Danio rerio: one gene and its partners. The protein of the gene in region 1 interacts with the protein of each later gene in a biochemical or structural test. Links are inferred from orthologs where the notes say so. Each region holds a gene or a part of one and is shown in the gene's direction. Other genes may lie near its edges.

What was found.
Region 2: the proteins of smurf1 (region 1) and plekho1b form a complex in vitro, tested with the Homo sapiens proteins (4 studies listed by BioGRID and IntAct). The link is inferred for Danio rerio from reciprocal best matches to the Homo sapiens genes SMURF1 and PLEKHO1.
Region 3: of the proteins of smurf1 (region 1) and axin1, one has a biochemical effect on the other in vitro, tested with the Homo sapiens proteins (2 studies listed by BioGRID, with this or other methods). The link is inferred for Danio rerio from reciprocal best matches to the Homo sapiens genes SMURF1 and AXIN1.

What each region holds. Positions count from the first base shown.
Region 1 is NC_133178.1:39,717,232-39,728,215, reverse strand, and holds the start of smurf1 (E3 ubiquitin-protein ligase SMURF1), read left to right. Parts: upstream 1-5,208; 5' UTR 5,209-5,426; coding exon 5,427-5,481; intron 5,482-10,984. UniProt on the Homo sapiens protein: E3 ubiquitin-protein ligase that acts as a negative regulator of BMP signaling pathway. Mediates ubiquitination and degradation of SMAD1 and SMAD5, 2 receptor-regulated SMADs specific for the BMP pathway.
Region 2 is NC_133191.1:42,445,435-42,455,644, reverse strand, and holds part of plekho1b (pleckstrin homology domain-containing family O member 1b), read left to right. Parts: intron 1-6,120; coding exon 6,121-6,261; intron 6,262-10,210. UniProt on the Homo sapiens protein: Plays a role in the regulation of the actin cytoskeleton through its interactions with actin capping protein (CP).
Region 3 is NC_133178.1:42,645,416-42,655,625, reverse strand, and holds the end of axin1 (axin-1), read left to right. Parts: intron 1-1,869; coding exon 1,870-2,019; intron 2,020-4,759; coding exon 4,760-4,886; 3' UTR 4,887-6,873; downstream 6,874-10,210. UniProt on the Homo sapiens protein: Component of the beta-catenin destruction complex required for regulating CTNNB1 levels through phosphorylation and ubiquitination, and modulating Wnt-signaling.

The sequences.
Region 1 (10,984 bases):
CACAATGCCTTCCCCAAAACAAAATCACATGACTTTTTTGATGTGCATGCGGAAATGTAGTCAGTATTTAGTCATTATGCAAAAAAATAGATCCTACTCAGTAATGCACGTTTTTATTTACATTGTCAACATTTTTGAGCATCATCTCATTTCCATTAGGCATTTTTTGTGTTTAATATTCCAAAATGTTGTTTCTGTTGGCTTTAGCATGTGCAGAGGTCTTTAGATAAGTGATTTAGTGTAAATCCTTGCTGTGTCGTTCCACAGAGAGGACATCAGGATCATTTTCTCGACTTCTAAGTCTGGTTGTCCTCTGGTGGCAGACACATTGGCAGAGTTCAGCATGACCTTTCTGCTGTTCTCTGTCTTGTTGGCATTGGCATTGGTTTTTCCAGTAGAAATTTATGATAATAGGGTATATGCCGAGCTAGTGTTGTTCCGATACTGATTCACTTCCGGTGACCTGGTATTGTGATTGTTTTAAAGCATCGATGTTGTAATGTAATTAAAATACATTTTAGTTAAATAAACTTTGGCATTCATTTAGTTGTTCAAGCGTAAAACAAGACAAAAGGCCTTTTACTCGCACTCGCCTTTCAGAATCGGCAGGCTAGCGCAGAAGCTCCATTGAATATACTGGGGTAAATTAAATGCTCATATTATAAAGACATGGCGGGGGGAAATGTAATTTAATGAAGAGCTTCTTGTACAATCTGAGACCCACTTTATATCGGATATCACTCAGCCAGTGGAGATTGATGATTTTTTAAGAAAACTGACCTTAAACGCACCGATTTTTGCATTGCCATACAGTTTACCGGAAGCGGTTAACCAGGTTACGGGCAAATTAAAAGTCCTATTAGCATGCTTCAGCATATACCCTATTGTAAGCTCATTACTGTTTTCAACACAGAATAGAGGTATTAAATTGATAAATGGCTGTATTAAACTGATCAAAATGTGCACATAGAATTCTTAAGCAGATTATTATAATAAAAATATTCTTATGCCTTCATTTTAACTATACATTGTTTTACAAATATCTTAAAGCAGGGGTGTTAAACTCTTAATAGAGGGCTGCAGTGTAAATGTTTATGGATGTTTCCTAGTTCTGGGAGAGCATCCACTGTGTAAAACTTAAGCTGGATAAGCTGGCAGTTCATACCCTGATGAATAAAGGGACTAAGCTGAAGGAAAATTAAAATGTAAAACATTATATATATATATATATATATATATATATATTTTTTTTTTTTTTTTTTTTTTTTTTTACAAATGTTCTCTTATTACAGCAGAATACAAATTGTTCATTAGTCTCCATTTATATGTTCACACACACACACACACACACACACACACACACACTATGGAGGATCAAATGATTGCTTATTGCTCCTGTCATCAGCTTATTGTTCCTTGTACATCTATAGGGACACTGTAATTGTAGCAGCTTTGTTTGTGATGTCTTGATTGTGATGTTGTGTTATTATCTCACACACAGTGTGTGAGCGCCTGGTGGAATATTCCATTTCAAGCATGTGTGGACACATTAGGGGATCATTAAGACTAACTCAAAGCTGTGAACACATATGCTCCTCCCCGGATACACACAAGCTATTTCTGACTACCGCACCAAGTGTGCCGCAAGCCTACGTTTGAGTGAAGGTTTCGGCCGTTAGATCGCCCCCTGGGGGCTGGCTGCAGTACAAGTCATAAAGCCCGCCTCCTCCGTGTTAATGAAGGAGACTTGAGCCCAAATAAAAAAAAATATTACACTTGCAATAAAATGTCCCGAAAGATAGTTCTGGTCGATTAAGGCACTGGTTATTGTGCTGAAATAGGTGCAGATCTTCATTTTTGTAAACAGTTTGTTTTTAGCAGTAATTTAATGCTGGGCGTGTCATCGTGATACACAGCTGTGATTGACAGTTTCTCAAAGCGCGGCGTCTGAGCTTCGGCAGGAGAATGAAGTAGACTGAAATGTTATTATTCGATTTCTGTGTTATTTTACCATGACAAAATGAGTTCAGCAGTAAACTATAGTTTCTGACATACATGATCCTGGTGGAACACTGTTTATTCGCTAAGTTCAGGGCTTTTTTCGGGCTTTATTAGTTTGCTGATACACGCCTAGCCACCCAGATAGCAAAACACAGTTCCGGCTAGATTCTCGCCTGCCGGAGACATATCTCTTAGAGCTCAGACTGACTAATGTTACCTCTGCTGGACCTACTCCGGATGCCTGGACTCACTGCCCGATTCCAGTCCGAGTCAATCGAGCCAGATGCGGCGGCCGAGCGAGCAGGCGCTGCCGCATGCGAGCCGGAATCAGCCCGCGACGCCGCGAGTAAGTTATGCGCTGCGGCCTGGAGCTGGCGCGATTGAATTTATAAAACCCTCATATTTGTTAACGTTATTACATCCATTTGTGTTGATATGACAGCAAACGCATGCTGAGAAGTTCGGGGGGCGTGGTTGATTTTACATAAAGCGTTTGGTTGGAAGCTCGACTCTGCTCATTTTCGCGGCTCCTCCTCTGGCTCCATCAGACAATCCTTCTGCGCATGTCTGGCTCCAATTTCAGCAGTCTTTTGCGACAGTTTGTGCCCGTCAAGCAGGCGTTTTGCCCTCAAGGCGTTCAATGGGAAAAAGGGCTGTCGCGTCGTCCATATTTTTTACAGTCATTGTACCGCACACATTAATTAGCTTCTCAAACCAGCCAGTAGGCCTGTATATTCTGAGGTTGCTAAACTTGATTTTTCAAATAGTTATACAGCGGCTAAATCACAAATTAGCAGAATCATTTAAATATGTGAACAATTGTTTTTACCTGTGTATATTAAAACCACTGTCGCCTCACAGCAAGAAGGTCGCTGGTTCGAGTCCCGGCTGGGTCAGTTGGCATTTCTGTGTGCAGTTTGCATGTTCTCCCCGTGTTGGGATGGGTTTCCCCCACAAGTCCAATGACATGCGCTACAGGTGAATTGGGTTAGCTAAATTATCCGTTTTTGTGTGTGAATGAGTGTGTATTTCCTAGTAGGCCTACTGGGTTGCAGCTGTAAGGGCATCTGCTGTGTAAAACATATGCTGAAGTTGGCGGTTCATTCCGCTGGCGACCACTGATCAATAAAGGGACTCAGCCAAAGGAAAATAAATCAACTAACAATAAAACCAAAAAGTTCCCATTATAGACATGGTTTTCTCCTTCAAAGCCTACCACATTACAAAGTGCTTATGGGTTTATTCAAGATTTAATTAAAACAACACTTCTAGGCTACTAGAAAACACAGTGTTTTTCGCTATAACATATTTGTCCTTTCAGTTTCAGAGGCCCTTGACTAATTTAGCTGCCAATCAAATCCTGTCTTTCTTTCCTTGTTATGACCAAGAGATGGCAGAAGTGAGCCACGTCAACATCTCCATTGATTAATTATGTCAACAACGCGTCTTCCCATAATCCGATTGCCTTTTTTTCACATTTGGAGTGGCTTCCAGCATACACATTTTCATTTGCTTTGACTGTTGATGGACGTTTTAAATGACTGATTTGATTCACAGTTCATTTCTGGCATTTAATTACTACTGCCAGTGCTATAATCACTTTCTAGTGCAACTAAATCACACAAATGCATCCACAGTTAATACCTGAAGCTATTTTTCTGAATATTCATTACATATTTATTGTGAATTAAGTGCATATTATAAAAGAGTGACCAATATATTTATTATAGTATAGCTATTGTAATTTCCTTAGAGTCAAATGACCATTTCATACTGAGCTATTATTCAATATCATATCAATATCTATGTGAGGAATAAAGTGTCAAAACCTTACATAATTAAACTGATCAGTCAATACATTCTAATGTTTACATTTATGTCAATGTTTCATCTTCAGATGTACCTCATTAAGCCACGTTGCATCCCACACAATGAACTGATTTAATTAATTGCATTAATATGTATTTGTTTCCATTTTAATGAGTCTTCAGATCAAATACATTTCATTATTATGCCAAGAGTACAATGGCTCTCTGCTCATTAAAGTGGTGACGGATTGAAAAAGGCCAGTGTGTGGCCTGCCACCCTCATTAGCCTGCTGTTTACGTGGATTGGCTTTTCTTCTGCACAACACTATTAAATGGCTCTATTGTTTCCAGTTGCTAAAGTCCTCCAATCCAATCCCTTCCACTATTGCTCAGGCTAACCTTATTTGCTTCTACAACGCGACAATTATCAAGCCGCAATTAATGCAATCACAATCATGCAAATGTAATGGAAATCATCTGCATCCATCATCTCATTATTTATTACTCAAACTCAAAACAACAACCTCTAATGCTAATCAGGTCACTTAAAATGTTATGGATGCTGCGAAAATGACAAACAAATTCATCAATCTGCCCCAGATCCATGCAGTCATCTATCTATCTATCTATCTATCTATCTATCTATCTATCTATCTATCTATCTATCTATCTATCTATCTATCTATCTATCTATCTATCTATCTATCTATCTATCTATCTATCTATCTCTACATTTATCCATCCATCCATCCTTTCATCCATCCTTTCATCCATCCATCCATCCATCCATCCATCCATCCATCCATCCATCCATCTATGCATCTATCCATCCATCCATGCATCTATTCATCCATCCATGCATCTATCTATCTATCTATCTATCTATCTATCTATCTATCTATCTATCTATCTATCTATCTATCTATCTATCTATCTATCTATCTATCTATCTATCTATCTATCTATCTATCTATCTATCTATCTATCTATCTATCCATCCATCCATATCTATCTATCTATCTATCTATCTATCTATCTATCTATCTATCTATCTATCTATCTATCTATCTATCTATCTATCTATCTATCTATCTATCTATCTATCTATCTATCTATCTATCCTGTATTTATTTTATTAATAAATCCTTTTTATTGTTGTTTAGATCTATCTAATCTTAATAACATTTGGTCTACTTAAAAAATACATCAATTCACTTCAGCTGACGTGGCTGGAAAAACACGCAAAGCACGAAATTTCATAGCATAATTCGAAATCAGGACACACATGACTAATATCCTTTTTTACATCACACAACACAAACGGACTTCCAGCGCCAGGAAGAAGAGCGCGCGCACGCCCAGCCGCGGGTACGTGCACGTACAGCTGTACTAACGTGATGTCAGAACGCCGTTGAGCTCAAAAAATGTTAGCCTGTGTTGTTAAGTCTGAAAGCTACAGGGGATTTGCCAGACGGAAATAATACCGTTTTATCGCCGAGAAACACATGCACAGGCCACACGATCGCGTCGCGTGTTTTTATACGTTTTTATATCCTCGTGAAGCGAGCGTCTTGGGTTTATCCTGAGAGAAAGTTCGTTGGTTTTTTTGTGGGAGTGATGTCGAATCCTGGGACTCGAAGGAACGGGTCAAGCATCAAAATCCGACTGACAGGTAAAACACCCTCTAATACGCTAATTTATCGCTTTAATGTACTAATTTGTTGTTAGTTATCATTTTATACGTTTGGTTAGCTTATAACTGTGTGTCGGTCGCAAATGTGTGTAAAACGCTAAGCGAGGATCCTGCTAGCTTCTGCTGAGGCGAGTTGCTGCAGCCCTGTCTCTTCATGCTAAACGCATGCTAACACGAGAAGCATCCCTTTTTTATTTAATAAACAGCACAATAGTCAGTGGACCTGCTTTATTTGCACTTGTGTGAACGTTATCAGCCGAAAGCAGCTCCCCGTGCACAGTTTGTTAGGTTGGATTAGTCATAAATCAGCTGAGTATAAACCGGATGAGGCAGAGGCAGCTGTTTTCTCGGTTTCCCCTCATCTGGACGCCAGTGTCTTCGTTGTAAATTAAGATTTTAATACGTGACAGACTGTTCATTAATGTTTTGCTTATTGCGCTGTGCTTGCTTTCGGAAGTAAGCTAACTATGGGGTTGATCTTTATGTGATAGTGTACTGTTTCACAATCCACAGATGGGTTTTTTGGGGGAGGATTTTTTTCCTTACTCTTTTGAAACCGCTCTTTGCTTGGAAACGAACAGGATATGATAGATGCATACTGATCTCATTGATATCATCACAGACATAGTGACAGTGCCCTGGAGGAGTGCTTTTACAGTTGCCTTTTTATTTTTTTAAACCAGATCTGATGTTGACTTATCAGTGCCCTTTAAAGCGTTTGTGGAATAGGAAGACTGGTAAACGCCAAATGACAAGGTTATGTGGTTTGCATTTTATTATAGACTCAGTAGAGACCAGATTAAACGTTTTATTCTTTATTCTTGTATATTAGATTTTAAAAGTGAAGTTTCATTTGTAAATGTTAATGCCCTTCATTTATATTGAGCAGTGTGTTTGTTACAGTGGTTTGTTGATTTTGGATGTAGTAATGATGTGTACCCTTTGTGAAGCTGCTTTATTATTATAATTATTAACGAAGTAAACTTGAATTGAACCGTTTTTATCTTTTGTTTACAGAGTACAACAGTTCATTGTCAATGTTAGCTCAGAGACAGCTTTAAAATATACAACTTTTGCAGTAGTTTGGTAAATGCTGAAATGAACGTTAATGCTCTGCTGCGGTTCAGTCATTTATTTTCATATTTGTCTTCATAATGGTATGAAAAACTAAACGTTTTGGCACATTACCATTAACACAAACACACAACAAAAGGAAACAAGCAAAAATGTGATTATCATGATAAGAAAGTGTTTTTAAAATGCAAATGCTTGTGGTGTTTTAGTCAAATATAACCACATCAGATATAAATTATAAATGAAGAAAGTTTATTTCACATTAGATGATATCTTTCATGATATAGTTTTATTATGAGGGTAGTTATTCCAGAGAATTTACTAAAAGGTGTGCAATAAATAAGCTTTGTGAAATAACTAAGCTTAAATATTTAAGGAAAGAAGATGACTCAATCTTGTTAGATTATTTTTGTATTTTATTTTAACTTTACTATAAATATTGTAAACCAAATATAACTTTTAATGAACGAATTACACTCTCACATTTTCACAGTTTTATGTGGACAGACCTTATTATTATAAACATTTCACACATCATCTTCTGATACAAAACTATCCTATGGAAAAAAAAAAAACTTTATCCCTATAACTGCCTGCTCTACCACACGGTTGACCATCTTTTTACTGTTTTAAATAATCACCGTTAAAGTCATTTTAAAGAGAGTTTTAAAGAATGGTTAACACAATACAGCATTGTTGGTTTACAAAGAAAAAAAGAAAATCCTGTCGCACCACTTCGGCATACATCAAAAAAATTCATGTGGTATTCAAAAATGTTTATTTTTTTATATTTTAAAATATAAAATAGTCTTAGACTTTATACTTTCATATTTTTCATAGCATATGAATTAATTTCTGTAGTTTTACTATAAATTAACATTTCTACCATTTTTGTACATGTTAATATTGTAGAAATTATGGGATTATGGTAAGTTTATGGGGGAAAAAATTGATTTAGTGTTTTAACTAGCGACATTACGAGTTAAGAAATGCAATCCAAAAATATTTTTCTTGGTGGGCGGTTAAAAGGTTAAGGAAATATCAAACTGTTTTTTTTTTATTCCTTTAAAAATGCAAAATAAAAACAATTCAAGAGTTCAGATGCTAAAACCTCTATGCGCTGTCTGAAATGTCCATCAAAAATAAACTTTTATTTTTCAACCTCCTTTGTTTATGTTGAATTATTTTACTTTAAAGACCATAAAAATGACTTATTTGCTATAAATGTGTTTATTACTAAACTTACACACAGGAGCCTGAAAAAAATTCTCAGTTTGAAAGAAAATTTCAGATGGCATTTTCTAGGTTCTTGCATTTGAACTCCTCAATTACAATTCATGGATAAATACTGAAACTAAGTGATCAGTTCTCGTTGAAAAAATTAAGCGATTGGCAACACTGCCAGTCTCCCATGTAGTGTCTTTCTTGGCCTTATGCATAATGCTTGTGAGTTCGCCACTCCCACTTATTTACATTTGGTGGTATACACAGAATAAAATAAAATTAATATACACATTTCATGCCATAAAGATGATTTATATCGTCATATAACGATATGGCCGATAAATGGTATTATATCAAATCGCAATAAAATTGATGTCAATAACAAATATAAGCTTGGAAGTTTTTTTTACTCTATATTGATCTCGGAGCCAATCACACTGCAGAAATGTGCAACAATGGGAATCTAAAAGTGTATAGATATTAGAGATGTACCAAATCTGGAAGCATTATCAACTTATATCGAAATATTTTTGCCATGCGCTGTAAAAACTGCTGGGTTCTACATAACTAATTTCTGTAGGGTCAAAATGAAGGAATTAAGTTTAACTTATAGTTTTCACATTTAAGTGGATTGAACATAAAACAATTAAGTTGTCCCACAAAAAAACTCAAAAATTGTGTTTCCGCTCCTTTTGAAAAAACGGAATTTATAAATACGTAACAAACAACAAACATATTTTTTTGAGCGTATCGGCTCTTTTCATAGCAATAATTGTAAAATTCTGTAACTTTTTCTCTGCCAAAAGTGACCAAGCTTACGTGCTCCACAGCGGTCACAATTTATAACAGTTTAAGTTTGAAATGTAAATTTTTTTACACCCAAAAAGTGGTCACAAATGGAGTCTAACTATTTCAGAAGTATAATCTAGCGCCATAAAATTCCCTAATACAACTTACTAAATAAAAAAATGCTATTCGATTAATTTGATGCATTCATTTATATAATTTAAAATTTTTTAATCTGAATGAACTAAGATTACCCAACAGCGTTTTTCTTCTTTAATGTGAAGTGGATCATTTCATTAATGGCCATTGATTTATTATAAAGTGAGTTAGTTTGCTTTTTATGTAGATGTACAATAATTTACTACATAATCCATGTTCCCTCTTTTTCCTGAAAGAACTATTTTGACATCCAACATTTCACTCTGAATGCTTTGATGGAAGCGATTACGACACCATATAAAGACATTTTGTTCCCACACAAACAAGAGAGCTCTGAATGAGCGGGGCTTTACTTTACACAGATGTGTTTGTGTCTCGCAACATCTCCTCTGTGGCCACTTGAGAGTTTGTTTGTGGAAGAGATGTCCACAGCAGAGGTGGCGAGCTGTCGGGCTGCAGACAAACCCAGCGCCTCCAGCTGTGCTGCTCTCTCCCCCCTGGGCCCATGAAAGGAATTCTAATTGGTCAAGGAATGTCTGTCTCATGAAACAATGAGTGTTGAATCTCCTCAATGGCCGCTTCACTGTTTAGACTCGCAGGGCGTTTAAGTCCAGAGGATTTAGGTTACGAAAGCTTGCAAGATTTTTATCTGTATGATAGCGATCAGTAGATGCAAAAGTGCTCCCTTTAGGCATTTGGAGGGAGAGCACATTGTTTTTCACTTTTATTCTTGTTTCCTCTCAGATTGGGTATATTTGGAAGAAAAAAAGGTTTTTGGTAAGCACTGCATCTAATTCTTGTTATAAACAGTAGTTACCTAAAGATATTGATAAGTTTGGGAATCATATTGTAAGTGGAATTTTACAGACTTTAATGATCAAATATTAAAGACACAGTTCATGTGTTCGCTCTTATGTTGTGAAATATAAAAGAATTGTCAGTATAAAGAGAATTGTCTATGGGCTCGAGTGTTGTCGTTACCAAATTTCTTAAAAATGTCTTCTTTGACTCTAGAAATCCACAGGCATGAAATGACATTAAGGCCCCGTTTACACTAGTGCGTTTTAGTTTTAAAACGCATAAGTTTTGCTACGGTTACGCCATCCGTCCACACTACGCCGGAGTTCTCGAGCGCCGAAAACGGAGCTTTTTGAAAACGCTGGAGAGGCCGTTTTCATTCTAAAACGCTGCTGCTCCGTCTTAGTGTGGATAGGGAAAAACGGAGACATCTGAAAACGGAGGCGGGGCTGCAAACGTTCGCCTATCTGATTGGGGCTTTTCCTCAATATTAAGTAGCCCACACACAGTTCAGTCTCGCATCCTCTTCTTGTAAGTTAAGACTTCGCAAGTTTGATCAAGGCTGCAGTCTCCCCTTTCTCAGTTTGATATGGAAAACATACGGAGGACACGGGTAAATCTTCAAAGGGAACAGTGTACTTTATAACTCCATTCACATCACCTTGGCTATGTTGTTTCACTTTCTCAACAATAAAATGTAAACATGATTTAAGGAACTGCCTATTTTCTTTTTAATATTAGCAACTTAACAGACAGCAGAAATGTTGAGGCGTCGTGCTGCATATATGGGCGTCATCTTCACTGTGTGGATATTTATAACAAAACGGAGCCTATAACAACTGTTTCCTTTCAATTTCAGTGAAAATACGAAACGCACCCTCTCTTTTGCTAAATATCAGTTTTAATAATCGATAATTATAAAAGTATAACATACAATAAGTTTATACATTGTAGGAAATAAAGGCAAGCGATCAGTCAATGTACCTGGATTAATCATTAACTTATCTTTGCGCTTAACCAAAACATGTTACCCGTGAACAAGTAACTTAATAGATTCCAATGACCAAAGTCAGGGAATTGGCCTATGTCGTTAGATAAAGACAACAACATGAATGAAATATCACGTTTAGCAAATATAGTGAGATTAGATCCAGCGGGAGATGCGTGATGAGCAGTCCGACAAGCAGAGCTCTCATCTGGGTAGAAATGCTGGAGCGCTTGCCCGAGAGTGTGTGTGTGGTCACGTGATGTGCGTTTTCAGCGTTTTGGTGTGGACGGAGAGCTGTTCAGAGACGCTGGGAAAACGCGAGTGTGGACGCGGATCGTTTTCATTCTACAACGCCGTTTTAAAACTAAAACGCACTAGTGTAAACGGGGCCTAAGGGTGTACTCACACTATGTACAGTTGCCTTGAACCGGGCATAGGCACGTTTTTCCCCTC
Region 2 (10,210 bases), on another chromosome or scaffold:
ACTTAAACCCCTTTTCTCTTCCCCAGCTCATCACTCACCAACCCAAAATACTATAAATTCTGAGTGTGCCTCATACAGTGTGGGCTTAACAAACCACCTGTAGAAACACACACACACACTCTCTCTCAAAAAAGACTTACTAAATTCTCTGAGCACAAACAAGTTACTTTGTATTGCCTCTTCTTGTTGAATCGCTGAATGCCTCCTCAATTGTAAGTCGTTTTGGACAAAAGTGTCTGCTAAATTAATGTAAATGTAATGCTTATGTTGTACAAGGAACACATGGATTATGATCAAAATCATAGCTGCCATCCATATCCTTATCCTATTCGCATGTTAATATTAGGTGTAAAAAGGGATAAACTCTGTCATTGTTTACTCGCCCTTCTCTTGTTTAAAACATATTTTTTTTTTTTCTTATGTTAAACAAAAAAGTTGATATTTTGAAGAATGCTTGTTGTAGCTGGTATCTACTGACTTCCATGGCGATTTTCACCCTGCTATTTGTTTAACAGAAGAAAGAAACTCATAAGTTTTAAACCACATGAGGGAGAATAAATGATGATATAATTGTCATTTTTGAGTGAACTGTCCCTCTAAATGTAAAAACAATTGTAAAATAAATAACTTCATAAGTAGTTTTTCAAGATCTCTTATATAACTTATAAAGTAAATCTGAAACATCAACTTATTTTAATAAGTTTAAGTAACAGTATATTTTGTACAACATACTTTTTTTAGCCTGCAAGTTCTCTCATGCAGCTTTTATATCATAAATCAGTATCTGCCATTTTATTGACAGATTTACACTTAAAACATCTTACAGTGAATTTTGCATGTGTGGGCTGAAGGGACACATTGCCAAAGAGCATTCATTTCAAATTCCTTTTCAGGGTATTTGGCTTCTGCGATGATGCCACCTCTGTCGCAAGAGTTTGTGGTTCTGATTGACATTTATGAAAGGTTAAATGGTTTACGGAGAAAGTAAATATGAAATTGAATAGCTCAATTCAGAACTTCATCGGTCCTTTGAAAGACAGTGAAACATGAAACGAACACTGTGAATGGTCCACCTGCTCTCAAAACAAAAGAAAAAGAGAAAATTCTCCAGAATACAGTTTAGTTGTTGAGTATATGAGCATGTTTCGCATTTTCAAGCGGTTCTGTATCTTAGTATTTCAGTGTTAAATACATCTATCAATAAACACCACTGTTCAAAAATATGGGGTTAGTATGATGTTATATTTAGCAATTAAAATCATCATAAGTGACATTTACACAGAAAAAATTTCCATTTAAAATAAACGCTGTTCTTTCTGTACACCCAGGAAACCAAGGCTGCACAATATATCATTTGAACAGCGATATTGCAATGTCTGGATGCACAATAGTCACATCGCAAGATTAGATTATTTCCACAACATTCTGACACTCGATGACACTCGAATACCCTGTCAGTAATGTCTTGAGGCTGGGAATGAGCTTTTTTACAGTGTCTGTTATAATGTTAATGTTGTTTTTGTGTGTTTACATAGATCAATATAGCCACAGTGTAAATGCACAGTACAGTTACGATCTTATTGCCACATTATATCATTATGATAACATGATATATGCCTTCAGTGATTTTCTGAAGATAAATACCAAAAAATAACACAACTGTAATAACTACAGCAGTCGCCATCATCAAACTCATATTTAGTACGACATATGATGACGTGTGCAGGTGCTGTAGTGCTGTTCCATTTCTTGGGGGTACACTTCGAAGCCCTTCCCCTTCACACTCTGTTTCAAGGGGAAGAGGGGTACAACAATAGAATTAGGATTGGGCCTAAGTACATTGTATTTATATTTTAATGTGCTAAGTATATGTTTAAAGTGGGACAGATTATTGAATATATTTAAAACTGCCAATGCTTAACTATTTAAAGGTTCAGGACACCCTGGATAATTTTTTCTTTTTTATTAACAGATTTGTGTGAGTTGAGCATCAGTTAAGACAATGTTAGCATCTGTCAGCTTTAATTGTGGGGAAAACTGGATAATTTTGAGCTTTTGTCAGCTAATTTCAGCTTCCGGGTTTAAAATGATTTTTAGGGCGGGATCAAAATTGGCGATGTAGCGCAGTACTGCAAGTGCATTGATGACGTGTCAGTTTCTCATTATTATTCAAAGCGGAGTTTTCTTATCCTATGAGAAGAGCCGGCTCCTTAATTATTCATGAGCACGTACTTTCCGAAGGCAAGGCAGACTCAGACGCAGACCTGCCAGACCAGTGCCAAGTTCAAGCTGTGAGACACGGACCCACGGCACGCAGTAGCCGTTTATGAAGGCTCGTATGTGTTTGTTCCCATGATCCATGGGGTTTGTTGCATGTTTTTCCCCGGGATCCTGTCAGGGCCGATCATACAGCAAAGCTGTGTGTGTGATGCAAGCATTTTTGTCGGGAGAGCAGCACGAGAATTGGAGAATGGCGGATGTTGTCTTGTATCAGGTGTTCATTCACATTCAGACACATCGCCGTGCTGCTGTGTTTGCCTAAATCCTCCAGATTACCAGCAGGACTAATGGTTAAAATAGATAGGTCAGGAGACCTGCTCCACTGAGTCTGCATTTAGATCTATGATTCAGACCCAGGGATTGAGGGAGAAGTCCTCATTTATAGTGTGTACATGAACACGATTATCTTTATAATGATATAAATTGTGGTTATGTGTATATGAAATTACGAATAACAAATGTAGCAGGGCATTAAATTACTGTTTATTTCTTTGCATTTTAACTTTGAAAACTATAAACTCATGCGTCTCCTCACGGTTTGTCTCATTTTGTGAGCTAGCTTCATTCGCTCACGTTCTCCCCTGCTGGTCACGCCCACTCCTGCCCGATGCTCGCGGAGCTCCACGCCCATTACATTTACATTTACATTACATTTAGTCATTTAGCAGACGCTTTTATCCAAAGCGACTTACAAATGAGGACAAGGAAGCAATTTACACAACTAAGAGCAACAATGAATAAGTACTAAAGGCAAGTTTCAGGTCTGTAAAGTCTAAGAAGGGAAGTATTAGTAGTATTAGTTTTTTTTTTTTTGTACAGTTAGTGTGATATTCAAAGAGGCAATTGCAGATTAGGAAGTGAAGTGGAGACTAAATAGTTGAGTCTAATCATGCATCTTTTGAAAAAATTCTGAAGTAGACTTTAACCAAAAGTGGGGGGTGTCATGGCCCTTTAAGTATTTAAATTCTGTTATTTGAACTGTAAAGTTGTGTTAAAACCATTGTAAACAGCAATTCAGTATGACTAACTGTACTTTAGAATTTCCCTTTTAACTCCCTTTATAATGGTATTACTGTTAACACAAATTTGTGTCAAACTGATTTTCTCTGGCATTCGACAGCACGCCACAGATGCTGTTTGTAGAGCTCGTTTTTTTTTCTGAACCCGGAACATTTTTCTAACATCACACATGATAAAAATATTGTTTACGGCTCCAGACAGCTTTAGTTACATAACAGAAAGAAGCATGATTACAGAGTGCATATCAGACAGCATGGCAAGACTGTGAAATTATTCTCACAGTAGTACTTGTTTCCTTTCGCTCCTGCTGTTTGGAAAGGGGAAGGTTTGTCAAACCTTTTTCTCCGACTGTCTTTTGGTTGTTTAGGATGCTATTTGTGTGTGACGCTGTGTGTGTCCTCCGCAAAATGAAGCGCTTGTTTAAAACTTAATGTACATAGTATTAAATATAGATGACACTTTATTTGCAGTTAAAAAGGTCACCGAGGCGAAAATTGCCTTGTTGCTCGAACATTTGCCAGCTCAGGCAGTTTGAATAGTCAAGTCTAAATAAAGCATAAAAACATGCTGTTAAATTAATATATAATCACTCATTTAGACTCAAAGCTGCGCCTACTCAGTTTAAAACAGCAAAGAGCAAAAGTAGTACTTAAGTTCACATTCATTCAATGATTTTTTTTCTCAGCATGGTCTCGGATTACAGACTTTTACAGTGGCAGATTTGTCCCCAGATCCATCAGGCTCATTTTACAGCTAATGCGTTTGAAATAAAGATCCTCAAATAAAGCTTTAATGTGGTATCACGCCCCATTTTTACTTCAGATGGATCGTTTTAAGCCTCCTTTTGATTCACTATTTCGTGCATTAAAAGTCACAGCAGCAAACTTGAGTATAATCTTGAATCTAATAGCATTGAATCGTTCTAATGTCCGGGTTTTGAGTGCAAATGTACTGTGCTCCGACGGTCCTCTCTTGCAAAAAGAGGACTGGATCAGATTGCTAGTTAATTGCCGTCTTTGTACTGCTGGAACAGTAGATGTACTATTTGTACAGGCTTTCCCTGTGGTGACACCCCATGGTGCAATGGGTGTGATGCCAGCACTGCACTGTTTAGCGGCTCTGGGCTACAGCACAGGTCCAGATGTGGCCTTGTGTTGATAGATAGCGTTTTTTTTAGGCCTCAGTTTAGCGCTAATGGAAATTGATTATGACTTAATGAGAACTTTTGGCAGGTGATACCAAATCAGACCCTGATGTTCACTGTGAATCTGGGTTAAAAGGCTCTCTACTTTCATGTTTTGCTCAGTGATGTTTACTAGCCATGTTTTGACGTCTGTCCCAGTTAAAAGTCAGCACCGTTGCTCATCTGGATGTCATTTACTGATGTTACTGACACAACTGGTCGAAACCAAACACAGAGCTGAAACGCTGTTTATCCTAAAAATGCGGTAACACAAGTGGTAAATACTGTAAGGACACACAGTGTAATCAGTAAATCGGGATACGCTGGGCCAAAAAAAGCGTATTCTATGGAATTAAATTGTCTGTTTTAATTTAGTGCTGTTAAACGACTAATGGAAAGTCGTTTACAAAATAAACTATTGCGTTTACGAATTTTTTTGTGTATTGTATGGTATGCATGTGTGTATGTTAGAGCTGCACGATTCTGGATAAAATGAGAATTACGTTTTTTTTTTTTTTTTTTGCCTAAAATAAAGATCACGATTTTCTCACGATTCTGTAGATGTAAAATAAAGGTTAATATGAGTGGGCTATTATTATTGTTGTTGTTCTTAAACATGTGGTAAAACAGCAATAAGCTTTGTGTAGTTGTACTGTTGGTTAAAACATTTTAACTTGAACAGACTTTAGATTTGTCCTGGTCACTAATGCTGATGATAATTTTGTTGTTGAATTTTTGTGTTATTGTGTCAATCTGTAATTTTTTGCTTAAAATTTGTCACTGACGTGATTTTCGTGAATACAGAGGACTGGACAAGGGTATTTTTGCATTTTGGCAGGTTTTGGATACTTTTTGGGCTGGAATCGGTCAGCTACATCTGGCAACACTGTGTGCGCTTTCGGTTTCATTTCACCTTTTATTTACAGTCTATGCAGGTTCTGTTCACTAAAGTAGACTTCATTCAGCGCGCGCACGCCCTCTCTGTGATAACAGCTGACGGTCAGCTTGCGTGTGATTTTGTGGTCGCAAGTACATTACATGAAGACAGAAATGACATTTTTGGGGTAAATTGTATCTTATAAATACAGTATGTGACTCTTTTAACACCATTTGGAGGTGTCCAAGTTGCTGATCAACATATGTAAAACAATGTGAAGACTTGTGCGGCCACTTTTGCTTCTCTCCTGAACTTGAAAATACAATTGACAGAAATGCTGGATTAAGATCGTCTAGGGGGTCGAATCGAGATCGCGACCCTTTTACGATTTATTGTGCAGCTCTAATATATATACATACATACATACATACATACATACATACATACATACATACATACATACATACATACATACATACATGCATGCATACAGTTAAAGTCAGAATTATTAGTCCCCTTTGAATTTTTTTTTATCTTTTTTAAATATTTACCAAATGATGTTTAACAGAGTAAGAACATTTTCACAGTGTGTCTGATTAAGAAAAAGTGAATAAACGTGTCTTGTTTGTTTGTAAAAAGTATGTAACATGCTGATATGAAAAAGTCTGACAGTAAAGCTTAATGTATCACATCATATCATATCGTAAACACTGAAATGTACCAAAAAGTACTGAAATCATCTATGTACTTTCTCCCGCAGGTAAAAGATGAGAAGAAAATTCAGGAGGTGGTGGATCTCACAGACTACGAGAAGTCTGAGGAGCTACGTAAGGCCAAAAGCAGGAGCAAAAAGAACCACAGCAAGTTCACGCTTCTGCGTTCACGGCAGCCAGGCAACACGGTCAGTCTCTACAGGACACCGGGATAACGCTTAATGGCTTTACGCTCCAGTCAGCACTACAGCACTGCTGGGAGGCTTCATTAGTCAGTTTGCAGTCATGCTGTTAGACACTGATGACCTGTTGCACAACTCAGAGATCTGTCTGTTCATACACATTCACACACTTTGGACAAAAAACTACATTAAAAAAGAGGAGCTTATTGGCTATAGGACTGCACAATATATTAATAAACAATCGCAATAACAGTATATGCAATACCATATCACAGGGAAGTGCCTTAAATTAAATAGTTGGGTGTAATGCGTTCCACAGTAATGCGTTTCTGTATTCTAATTACATTTTTGGGGAATGCAGTAATGTACCGAATTACATTGTAAATTTGTGTAATTTGATTTCAGTTACTAAAGTCAATGTAATTGCGTTATGTTAAAAATAGAGTTTTTAGAAGAAAAAATGCTTCTTTTAGATAATGTTTTTCGCTGTAGTTAGTGAGCAAGTGCTTTTAAATTGCTAAGGATCGCAAGCTAAAATAGTTGCTGGTCAGAGTGGTTGCTTCTTCAAGTGGAAATACAGACATAACTTTGATTTCAATAAGCGTAAAAACAAAAATATTGCTGTGAAAGGCAGTCTTGTCCAGTCTCTCAAGAACTTTCCACTGCTTTTAACTCGACTAGCAACTTGTTCGAGCACTTGAACAGAAAGCATTGTAACCAAGGAGGACACAGCACCCAAAAACACAGCGGCTCGACTCAGCCTAAACAGGCTAAATTGGATTTTTGCGCAGGATTGTGAATGAAGATACCTTTTGAATGTGAAGAGAAGCATAGTTGCTTATGGAGTCGTTCAAGTATCACGTCATTATTGTGCACAAGCTTATTTCCAATGGAGGCGCGGTTTGCATACATATACATATTGGGAGAGCATATTGCGCATGCTCTCATTTTCCAGGCACATCAGTTGAAACCCTGAGTCACTTCACAAGAACTGTCCGATCAGTTTCATGCTTTGTATGGAATATACACATTTCGGTAGACTAATTACTGTCGAAGTCTGAATTATTGTTTTACTTTGATAGTCATTGGCGGCTAATATAATTTCCCTGCAAAGAAACTGTTTTCTAAAATTATATTACTAAGAAGAAAGTCTGAATGTGTCAATATAAAACCGTCTTCACCCCAATGCAATATTTTATCCAGTTAGTGTATGACGGTTGGTATAATCAGGCGGCACTCTTCATCGCAGTGAGCGTTTGTATGGGCGAGGATGTCAGTTTCCAGAAAAGAAAAGTAGGCAGGAAATTAAGAGTTTTCAAAGATGATTAGACAGAGACGTATGAGTTCATTTCGCTCTAATCTAGCACAAAACTGCTCTGTTTTATTTCTATTTCTTTATATGAGATGTATAGCATCTTTACACGCCAAAGTGGAACATAAATCAAAGTTAAAGCGGCTTAAATTTGCAAAAAATTTATATTTACTGTACACTAACCGTTAAAAGCATCTTTACACTGAATTTTGAGCAGACACAGACCCGCTTTAGGGCTGCCTTAAATCAGCCGCGTTAAGAAGACTTTAGACTGCTCTATATATTGGCACCATGTTACTTTTAAGAAAATAAAAAAATTATACATTGACACTTGTCATTTAGCCACTATTATTAATGTATGTTCAGGGCTCGAATTTAACTTTTTTACTTGGTAGCACCGGTGCTCCCAACTTCAAATATTTAGGAGCACCAAAATAAATTTAGGAGCACCAGAAAAAAATTAGGAGCACCCACCAAAAATGATTGAGCACCGCTGCAAATTGCTTTTTAAGGGATTTATTGTATTTTAAAACAACATCAATAGGACTGACAAAAACCAGAAACAACTATCTAACTAATGCTGCGAAGACATTGATATTTGTGTGCAATAATTCCAAAATGAATGTCTAATAATTATAGAATATTAATGATGATGAAAATGACAATAATAGTAAAAATGAATTACATTTCTCATTATGATACTGCCTTGAATGTGCATGAATGTAGGTTATCTGCCATAAAAAGTCTGTTACTTTATGAAAAATAATTGTATAGTTTGCATCAAACAAAAATGAAGCATTGCCTTAAGAAATATGTATTTTGTACTGCTGTATTTATATGCATGTCAATTTAATAAATAATATTTCTGCTACAAAACAAACAAAAGATTATAATAAATCATTCAATTCAATGATGAAAGCTGCAAAGCAGTCATCAGTAAATAAATAAAAAATAAAATTAATATACACCTCAAAAAAGAATAGACAAAAGAAAGAAAGTAAAGTCTCACTTCTATCACTCTTTAAAAGTTTTGGTTTCAGTTTGTGTCAATTTAAAGGTTCAGTCTGAGATGATCTTCATTTTTCTGTGTTAGTGGAAAAGCAGGCGAGTCAGTCGACCCAATTTATGAGCAGGCAGCGCAAGATTCTTGCGATGACCACCGGCGGAATACCGCTGTTTGTTATGAGACGCAGTTTCAGTGTAAACTTAGAAAAGGCGGGGTTCTTTGGCGATGGTATTAGATTAGACTTTTAGCGGACATTTGCGCTGAACACGCAGTGAATGCAACGCATGGAGATTCGGGCGCCTTCTCCAAGAAGCGCGTACTCGATTGATCTCAGCTGGCGGATCATTATTCACCACGTGACGTGTCATGATCGCTCTCATCTGCACCTCAATTTTAGGTGGGGTTTGCAAACCTGTGTGCTTTAAGTTTTTACTCTTCTGCCGTTTGCATTTCCCCGTGGTCATAAAAGCTCCTTCCCTGTCATCTGACAGCGAAATACCTTGAGTGATTGACAGCTAATGTGAACCAATATAGCGGCAGGGAAGAGCGATTCAGCACGTTTTTACAAAAAATCAAAACAGGTCGCACTACAACCATTATCTGCAGTCGCACTAATGCGCCCAAATATATTATGAGGTCGCATAGATTAATTTTCGGGCGCATATGCGACCAAACTGGTCGCAATTTCGAGCCCTGATGTTTATTCAATGGAAAATGTGTTAAACTTTTTTAATGGTTGATTTTTGTATGTGCATGTTTATTAAATTCAAGTTTTGTAATAACCAATTATTACTGTGCTTTGACATTGATGCTAATTCAAATTTGAAATTTTGAATTGAAACCTTGATAATCCCTGATAACAGCAGTAAACAAACTGCTTCATTAAACCGATGATTCAAGAGTCACACCTGTTTGCAAATATAGACTTGTGTGAACAAATACACTAAGGCTCGAGTCTAAAACACATTGATCATAGACAACATTAGACAATAAATTGTACTCTGGCATAGTTGGCACACCAGTTTCCAAGCACAAACTTGGATCGACCTCTGTAGTCCTCCTATCCTGTGTAATTGGCTTTCAGTAAGAACAGCTCAGCTTATTGCTTTCACTAGCACACCAATATCCTTCCTTAGACCAACACAAATAGTACATCTAACCAAGGCTCCTTGTTTCTTAAAGGTGAAGTGTAATGTTTTTGGATATTATATAATTAAAATCAATATATTATTTGAAGGTTTAATTTAATTCTGCCTCCTCACAATACTGTTAGCCATTACAATCTAAAGACCATTCAAAATAAGACACTGAATTTAAATTTAAAATGATATTATGAATTCAATTTTAAAAACATAATTTTTTATCTACTGGCTCAAGAAACTGGATAGGAATGGGGGCAAGACTATCTATATTTGGGATTTTTTTAGAAATTTAAAAAAAATATTCTGCACTTTATTTTTAATAAAAAATAATTAAAGGGTTAATTCACCCAAAAATTAACCTTCGTTCATTATTAACTCGCCCTTCACTTGTTCTAAACCTGTTTGATTTTCTTTCTGCTATTAAAACACAAAATAAGATATTTTGAATAATGTTGGTTGCTGGCACCCATTAGCCACATTTCCAAAGTTGGGCCA
Region 3 (10,210 bases), about 2.9 Mb from region 1:
CGGCACAATTCCCTTTCTTTTCATTACAGGTGCCGTCTCCCCTTCATATGCAATCCTCAAAACAGTCATATAGCGGGGAGTCCCTTATTATGATGGGCATATCCCTTATTTTCACATCCCAATGTTGACGGGTATGATTTCCAGACTTCTTAAAAATGCAAGAACTGCATAATAGTTTGTTAGTTAGTTCGTTTATTTTAATATTGCAAATGTTTTGTTGCCATCTGAAGTATAAATCTGTCATTCATATATATGCAAATATATATGAGCAAAATCACATGAGTAGCAGTGCAATATGGCTGTATATGGGCACTGGTGAAAGGCGTGCGTTGGCTCAGGCCGAGTGCCCTAGTGTCCCACCAGGGACGATATACAACCACATCGCACTGCTACAAGTGTGATATTGCTTTAATACAACAGTTTGATGGCATAATCGTGTATTTAAAAAAACCAAAAAACAAATGCAGTCTTAAAACCTTATTTTGTACAAGGAACTACTTCTGTTCTTTCATTTTTAAAATCTGCAGCTGATGTCAGAACAGCAGAAACCATTGCTACTTCACCAACATCACTTTAGAGCTAGTATGATTCTCTAGCGTAATGTCTAAAGTGATGACAAGTTGCAATCGAGATATCACAATAATTAACCCCGAAAAGCCAAAGCAAAGCAAACACTACCAGATAACCACAACATACAAAAGAGCAAAATTTACTTAGAAAGTCACTTACCTGCCTAATACAAATTTGATCAGCTGTAGTTTAAAATTACGTAGAGTTTTTCTGTCCAAAGGACATATTATGTGGTCTATGTTGCCCTCTTGTGGTGGAGCGTCAACCATGGCTCTGTTCAGTATGACAGGTTGATGGCCACCGGCACACCAAATGTCTACAATTATAAATATTTAAAATAGACACTATCCTTATAAATAATCTGCAAAGCTGCAATCTAAACAACCACATTCCTGCCTTAAAAGGCCTGAAAAATACATTATGTTGTCCAACAGCTGCAATATTTGTCAAACTGTAGTGAGTTTATTGATCTGTTGTGGGCGGAGTAATACAGAAGGGTGAAGTGGCTGTATAAGTGCTGTTATTGCAGAACATATATATTTAATTTATATATATATATATATATATATATATATATATATATATATATATATATATATATATATATATATATGTGTGTGTATTCAGATATTTTTCCACATTAATTTAAAAACGTCTACATTAATAAATATTAAAAGTGATTTTTATACCAACCACTATTGAACGCGCTTTCTGAATCATTAGCATCTCCCATAACAAAATATCAATCCACCACTAGTGCCCCCATGTCGCTCACTAACCCCTCAGTGTGTAGCGCTATTCTCACTTCCTGTGCACAGCATTTAAGAGTACACTTTAGATAGACTGGTCTTAGCTCTTGCACATAGTTCTTGACAGATTGGTTGCAGTGAGGTGTATCGTTCTGGTGCATTAACGGCAGGAGGAGAGCTGGAGCTGCGGAGACGTGCCTGCTTCTAATGCAGATACGCAGTTTAGTGACATCAAAGCTTTGGTGTGGATGAGATGAAAGCGGTCCTGCAGTGCCAGTGTTTTTTTTTTTCATCTTTTTTTTTCTGAGGAACATTTGTCAGGCATCTGGAATCCGTTTTACTTGGCATCAGTAAACCAAGCCTCTGCCGCCCACCAGCACTCCTGCCCACTTCAAGCCCAGCAGAACACAAACAAGAGCCTTTTAAATACAGACATCCTTACGGGACATCTGTATTTCCGCTACAAAATCAAACGCGCCATTACGGCCTATTTTATTGCAGAACGAATGCTTTGGTGGCTTTTTCAAGTGCTTTTTGGTTTGTTTTGCAGGCATAAGAATATGAAGAAGCAGCCCTGTGAGAACATCACCGTAGCCTATTATTTCTGCGGTGAACCCATCCCATACAGGACGTCCGTCAAGGGGAGGATCGTCACGCTTGGACAGTTCAAGGAGCTGCTCACTAAGAAAGGGAGCTACAAGTAAATGCACTTTTTTAATGTTCTTTGCATGAGTGGGTTATTGAGTTCATTCTCCTATTGATTTTGTCCAATATTCACATTTAACATGCTACAAACAGCTTTTGTGAAACAGAAAAAAGAATGAAATGATGGAGAATTAACTGCTTGGAAAATGTAAAATAGAGTAATGCTGCTGAAGATTTCCACTAAATATAAAGGTTTACTATGTGACAGTAAATGAGTAATAACTTCAAATAAAAATATTATTAATTATAATATATAAATAGTAATTATATAAATATTATAATAAAATATTATTTATTAAATAACTAATAAAATGTATGCTATGAAGTCAGTTTTATTTTTCTTTCTTTTTTTTTTAATCCTTTTAATTTTGGATCTATTTTTTATGTTTAAAATATGATTACCAAAATGTAAGCATGTGTAGCGAAATTGAAACCCATGTAAACAATTGGAAAAATGCAAGGACAAGTTATTATTTTTAAATGATGATAACTTTGTATAACTTTCTGTTATATGGTAAATTCAGTTTAAATTTGATCATTGTCTTCATTTCAGAAATCATAGAGCCCTAAACATTGCCATTGAATGATTCAGTTATAAATATGAAAATATGTTAAATGTTTCAAGCAATCCATCAAGCAATATTGTCTCAAAGTTTGTAATGAGTAGTTTTTGTTTTTAAAAACCCTTTTAATATACTTTTGCTGTCTTTATTAAATCTAAATATTTTCTGTCACTTTTGCATGTAATTGCATAAAAAGTATCTCCTCTAATGCTTGGTGGAACTAACACAGGGTTTTTTGATGACAGAAGTGCAATTAGGGCATTGCCAACTTTTGTTTTTTTCATTAATTTACACAGCAATACCAATTTGCAAGTTAAAAAAAACAAAACAAACCTTTCAATAAGTTCTGAAATTAATATATATATATATATATATATATAGGCTTGTGATCTTGCAATTATAAAAATGGGTGCGATGGGAACCGTTAATGGACAAACCATCAGGCTTACCACATTCTATTTATAAAATAGCTACAATTTGCATCAAAGTGGTTTAGTAATTTTACTTCTCAAAACTTGAGCCTCCAAAAGCCGGCGTGCTTTCATTGCATTTTATCTTTGAGGAATTTATTAAGAAAAAAGACCTACGTTGACTTCTTTTTGATATTTGCTGCCAGGTCATTAGAAAATTATGTGCAAAATTGTGTTTTATGTGCACAATTATAATTTGCAGCTTTAGATGGAAATTAGCTATTGTCTTAAGCAAAACTTACAGAAAAAAGGATTTTACAACCGTGTTTGTAATATTGATGATACTAGATTTTTCATTATTTCATTATTGAATGAACTCTCAACTTCCAGTATCAAATGGCCTCAAATACTGTGCATGCGGAAAGCATTCCCAGAGCTTCACTTTTTCCTTTTTATGTTACAGCCTTATTCCAAAATGGATTTTTATTTAATTTATTTGCTTAAAATTCTACACACAATCCCCCATAACGACAATGTGAAAAAAGATTTTTTTTTAATTTTTGCAAATTTATTAAAAATAAAAAACCTGAAAAACCACATATATGTCAGTATTCACAGTCTTTGCCATGAAGCTCTAAATTGAGCTCTTGGTTTTGAGCTTTTGGTACATTCTGTTTCCAGTGATCATTCTTGAGATATTTCAGCAGCTTAATTGGAGTTCACCTGTGGTAAATTCAGTTGATTGGACATAATTTGAGAAGGCATGCACCTGTCTATATAAGGACCCAGGGTTGACGGTGCATGTCAAAGCACAAACCAAGCATGAAGACAAAGGAATTGTCTCGAGGCACAAGGCTGGGGAAGGTTACAGAAACATTTCTGCTTCTCTGAAAGTTCCTATGAGCACAGTGGGCGTCTATCATCTGTAAGTGGAAGATGTTTGAAACCACCAGGACTCTTCCTATAGCTGGCCGGCCATCTAACCTGAGTGATCGGGGGAGAAGGGCCTTAGTCCGGGAGGTGATCAATAACCTGATGCTCACTCTGTCTAAGCTCCAGCGTTCTTCTGTGGAGAGAAGAGAACTTTACAGAAGGACAACCATCTGTGCAGCAATCCATCAGGCCTGTATGGCCATTTCTCGCCTGGAATTTGCCAAAAGGCATCTGAAGGACTCTCCGACCAAAAGAAAAAAAATTCTTGGGTCTGATGAGACTAAAATTGAACTCTATGGAGTAAATGCTAGGCATTACGTTTGGAGAAAACCAGGCACTGCTCATCACCAGCCAGAGCCCAGATCTGAATCCTATTGAACATCTCTGGAGAGATCTGAAAATGGCTGTACACCATCACTTCCCATCCAACCTGATAGAACTTGAGAGGTACTGCAAAGAGGAATTGTCAAAAACTCCCAAAGACAGGTGTGCCAAGCTCGTGGCATCATATTCAAAAAGACTTGAGGCTGTAATTGCTGCCAAAGGTGCATCAACAAAATATTGATCAAAGACTGTGAATACTTATATACATGTGATTTTTCAGCTTTTTTATTTTTAATAAATGTAATAATCTTGTTTCTCATTGTCATTATGAGGTATTGTGTGTAGAATCTTGAGGAAATAAATTAATTTAATCCATTTGGAATAAGGCTGTAACATAAATGTGGAAAAAGTGAAGCGCTATGAATACTTTCCGGATGCACTGTAATTGCTGTAGTATGTTTTGTTTTTGACTGACCTTTTTCATTGTTTATCTCTATTTCCCCAGGTATTATTTCAAGAAAGTAAGCTATGAGTTTGACTGCGGAGTGGTGTTCGAGGAGGTACGCGAAGATGACGCCATCCTGCCCATCTTCGAGGAGAAGATCATCGGAAAAGTGGAGAAGGTCGACTGAGGCCGGGACGGAGGCTAGAGGAGAGGAACTCGGGCTGTGGAGGATGACAGAATGGAGCTGCAGTGAGCAGGTGCTGAGTTTGGTACAGCGAACGTGGACGTGCTGGAGAGCCAGAGGTGCGGAAACGAGGAAGAAGGCTGTGGAAAGTACACTATTTACTCCGAGGCTTCAACCTCCGCTCAACAGAAGTGCTCGAGATCACTGCGTTGGGCACCGATAGCCCTCGGACTCACTCACTCACTCACAGAGAGACGCAAGCTGGAGGCAGCGTCCTCTCACTTTTGCTATATTTCTAACTCTGAAAACTGTAGCAATGTAAAGTTAGCCTAGAAAAAAAAGTACTATGAATATGTTTACTAAAGCTGCATATTTTTGATATGACGTATTCAGAAGGAACATATCCTTTCTAATTTAACAACTCTTGTAATTTTATATGTACTGGTACCAGATGTGTACAGAACTGTCTGTTTAAAAGGAAAAAGAGAAAGTTTTATATCTATTTAAATATTTAAAAGTGAAAAAAAAGGACAAAAAAAACTAAAAGAGAAATCGGTTCACCCATATCAAAGCTGCGGCATCAACCTGACCCCCAAAACGGTGGTAAGTTTTCAAAAGCCTGTGGTTATGGAGGAGCAGGAATCATAACCCACGCTTTACCAAGTGCTTTTAACTCCCATCAAGTCCGCACGAGAGAGGGAGGAGTCAGTCAAACGCCGCACTTTCCACTGCATTATGCATTGATGTCAAAGGAGAAGCTATACGACGATGCCTTCACATTGTGTTTGAGTGATGTCACGACACGCGTAGTGCATAATTATTCCTCCCCTTTGAGTGCGCTGACATTTATCTCCAGATTGTCGAGTGGAACAATGGTAGGTCTGTAGTTTTATCTCCAAGGTCTCTTTCCAGGTGCTTGCGTGCGTGAGATCTGCCTGTTTAGGAGCAGGAAATGTTTGAGCCTTGTGGAAGAGAGGGGTCCATCATCTATCGAGTGCCATTGGACAATATAAGGATCATGTTTACACTTACCTTAATGTATTACAGAACAGGAAACAAATAAAGAATTGTAGCCTTTTAGCTTAACACGGCTAATTGTGGTGCCTGGCGAGAATGAATTGTTTTAAAACGTAGTTTTTAGCCTACCGTGATCTGCCTTGTTGAGATCACGAAACACCAAAGAGAACAATCTATCACAGGAGTCGACTAAAAACCCGTTTGCGTTGTTTCGGCAGCAAAAACCAAGCTCCTTTTTAGAGTTTTCAGGCTGTGTTGTAACGAAACACTGAGATAAATGCTAGGGAAGGCCTGGCGAGATTGAGCCAGATGTGGTGCTGTAACGTTAGAATGCTTTTATTTTTATTTTGTCGTCGTTGTTCTGGCATCCCATGTTAAAGCTAGTTTTTAAATTTGAAATTCTCAATGTTAAGTGGATTTTAAGTTGCCGTTATCAATGTTTGTCATGTTTTTTAGCCCCTCCCCCTTCTGTTTAAATTTAGTTCTTCATCAACTTGAACAATATGGGTACTTGATGCAAACTATGGAACATTTCTCATATGTGTGTTTTTGATTACGGTGTAATTGTCAACTGGGATGTAACTACTGTGAATAGCCTGAACGTGAGCTCCTCTCACTGAACGATGAATGACCTGTACATAGACGTCACAGAGTGCCTTTCTGACCATTCTCTCATCTCTGATCCACTGTCTGCTCTCCTCACTCCGTGTGTCCAGTACCAGGGACTCGCATTATGTTTTAAAGTGTCCTAATTTGTTTTGTTTTCGTTAGTTTCCTATGCGAAGAGCATCAACACACTTTAAGTCTTTCTATGTAAATATGTACATTTTTTTTTTTTTTTTTTTTAAATGTGTCTTCAACTACAACCAGCAACCCGATTTGGAGATTTAGTGCCCTGGTTCTGCTTAAGTGTGCCGAGTTGTACAGTTATCATTTTATGGTACTTTGGACAATAAAGACATGTAATGAAATACATCTGGAGTCATCCTGTTCTTTCCTCGAGTCATCTTGTTCCTTTCTCGAAATATAAATGACGTGTTTGAGTGTGTTTTAGTTTATTCATGTATGACTTTTTGACTTTCTCTCCAGCAATTTAAGTTTAGAAAGCCTTTAAAAAATAAAGACTAACAGATGATGGCGCTCTTGTTTCCTAGCAACTGTTTCATGATGGGTTTTGCCAAGATCTCATGCAGCCGACGGCTGAGGCTCCACATAAACACTGAATTATGAGAGATCATTTAAAATACATGATTGGGAAAGTCTTTGATCTGCAGTACAAGAGATTTAGTTTGGATTGAGAAAAGAAATCATTAATAGAGCTAGCAATAAATAAAGACTTCTGCCTTATTCTCTTGTTGGAAACTTATGCCTTGATACCCTTGTTGACTCTAATGTACGTCAGTGATTGCATTGCGTATGTGCTTAAAACTGATGGAACCCTTGCACCATCTGATTTGAAGTCGGAAGTGGGAAAATCCAAGTTAATATTTCCCACATAACCTAATTTTGCGTTCCAGTCAGTCACACCACAAGATGGCACCATGAGTCAAATAATTAATTTCTTTGATCAATTATGACTAAATCGTTATTTAAAGCAAATGACTTGAGTGCCCAAACTCGATCCTGGAGAGGCAGTGTCCGGCTTAGTTTAGCTCCAACTTGCCTCAACACACCTGCCTGGAAGTTTCTAGTATACCTAGACAGAGCTTGATTAACTGGTTCAGGTGTGTTTATTACATACACTGAATAATGTTTTTATTATGTACAGTGAATAAAGTAATGGTGCAATTATAAAGTAGCTTAAGAAATGGTATGTACGTTAATGTTCAGTTCTTTTTCACTTTACAGGCAATGAAAATAAACATGAAAATAAATCATTTGCTATAAAAGCTCCTTTCAAATGTCTGCATCCTGTTGGCACTCGATCAGGTCGCTAGACTGGAAATGTGCAGCTACTCACTCTTGTCTTTTCTGTTACTGTAAAATTCTAATGTCGAAAATTAACAACCCAACTTTTCTGCATGACTTTGTCTTTTGGAAATGTGTGGAAACTCAAGAGTTAAATTTCTCTGAGGCTGTATGTTGCTAAACACGGCAGTTGTAGCTAGAAGTACTGTTCTCACGTCTTTGTAATGACACTTTAAAATTTAAGTTTAGATATCATATTCATGTGGCTGACGTAAACATATAAGTGTGCTATAATGGCATGAAACATTAAGGCAACTCTCCAAAGCGTTAGTTATTTTGATCTATAGCGTTTCTGTAGTAGCACAGTACTTTTACATTTTACTGGAAATGCGTCTGGTGCCACAGTGCATATAGCCCATTGTGGCTGAAGCTAAAATCTGCAGGACACCGACCCTCCAGGACCGAGTTCGGGCACCCCTGGTCTAGATTGATAGTGATTATATGCTCTTTGTTGAATGCAGTGGTGTTAAACTTCCTAGAGGGCCGCAAGCCTGCACATTTTAGTTCCAACAAACTTACCTGTAGGTTTCAAACAAGCCTGAAGGACTGAATTAGTTTGATCAAGTGTGTTTGATTAGGGTTGGAACTAAACTGCAAAGCTGCGACCCTCCAGAAACTGAGTTTGACACCTGTGGCTTAAAGAAGGCTTTCCCAAAATCAGGTTTATTGCCATTTGTTGTACAGTGGCATCCAGTTATACTGTAGTTGTTAGCTTGAGACAGCTCTCTGTTTATTTTGCTACTGATCTAGGTGAAGATATTAGTATTCTTGAACATTTCTTATTGGATATTAATATAATATTGCACATTTATCTAATGCAAAATAATTAGTCATAACTAGAAATTCTCATTTGTCGGCATCATTTTGGAAATGACCTCACATTTCTCTGTGATCAGGCAGGAACGACATAGTCTTCTAATGGTATAGATATGATTCAATAGGTATGTATTTATATGCTTAATATTAGTCATATGCTGCTTTATATGTTTTAATACGGAGTTAATTGAGGTGGGTGTAAATGCTAGCTGCAGTGACGTCACAATCTTGCAGCATTTGTTTTGTATGGCCAGAAAACTACACACTGCGTCACAATTCGCATACTAACTATCCTAAAGAGTATTTAAAATAAGAATTATCCCAAATCATAGTATGTTGAAAAGATTGTGCCAGGGGTGTCCAAACTTGGTTCTGTGATCAGGCAGATATGCCTTGGTTCTGCAGATATGCAGATTTTAGCTTGCCTCAACAAACCTGCATGGATGTTTCTAGAAAGCCTAGTAAGAGCTTGATTAGCTAGCCCAGGTTTGTCAGATTGGAGTTGAAACAAAACTTTGCCGGATATCGGCCCTCCAGCACCGAGTTTGTATATGCTCGGAGTATGCCAAAGGTTCCCGGATGGTTTAACTACAGGGGTGTCAAACTTATCTCCTGGCGGGCCGTAGCTCTGCCGTTTAGCTCCAGCCCTTCAACACTCCAATCTAGGTTTTAAAGAAGCCTAAAGCACTCAATTTGGTTGGATTAGGTGTGTATAATTGGGGTTGGAGCTAAACAGTGCAGGGTGGCCCTCTGAGTATGACACCTATGGTTGACTATTTTCAGTACAATTTTTGAACCGTCCCGCTGATATTGCCCACAATACATTGCGCGTTAGACGTGACTTCGAATAGAACGAGTGAAAAGTACAATTTAAAGTACAAACATGATGGACCTAGTAGGCTTCAGTAATGATTTTTTTTTTTTTACTGTTAATAGCCCACTGGAAAATATTTAAATCACATTTTCCGTGTTATATATCTGCAACAACAACGTGACGTGATCTGAACGTGTTTGGACATTACCTTGTGGCATAATTATCCAAAGACCTGAGGAGATTTCTCTGCATGAAAGAGTTGTGAATGGCAGATTAACCTGCTGCTGCATCTCCAGTAGTAGATATGAAAGAAATGGATGATGTGTGGATTACAGGGCTCGTAACAACGTAACGAAATAAGTATGTCCCAAAGCTTGCATACTCTCTTACATACTCTAAAAGTATACGTTTCCTTCACAAAAAGATACACATTGTTAGGGCGTAGTATAAGTAACTTATGCGAATTGGGACGCATCCATAAGGCCAAAGCATGTCGAGTGCCCCCTGGTGGATCAATGCATGACATAAACACCACTCATGAAAATAAACGTGGTGTCAGCCAGACTAAACGTAAATTGCACTTTTTTTCTTCAAAAAATGTATGCTTTCCGGAATTTCAGGTAATTTATTTGACTGTGACATTTTTGTAACTATTTTCAACAGTGGAAGAAAGTGATGAGACGTCCATCTTTTTACAGTCTATGGTCAACAG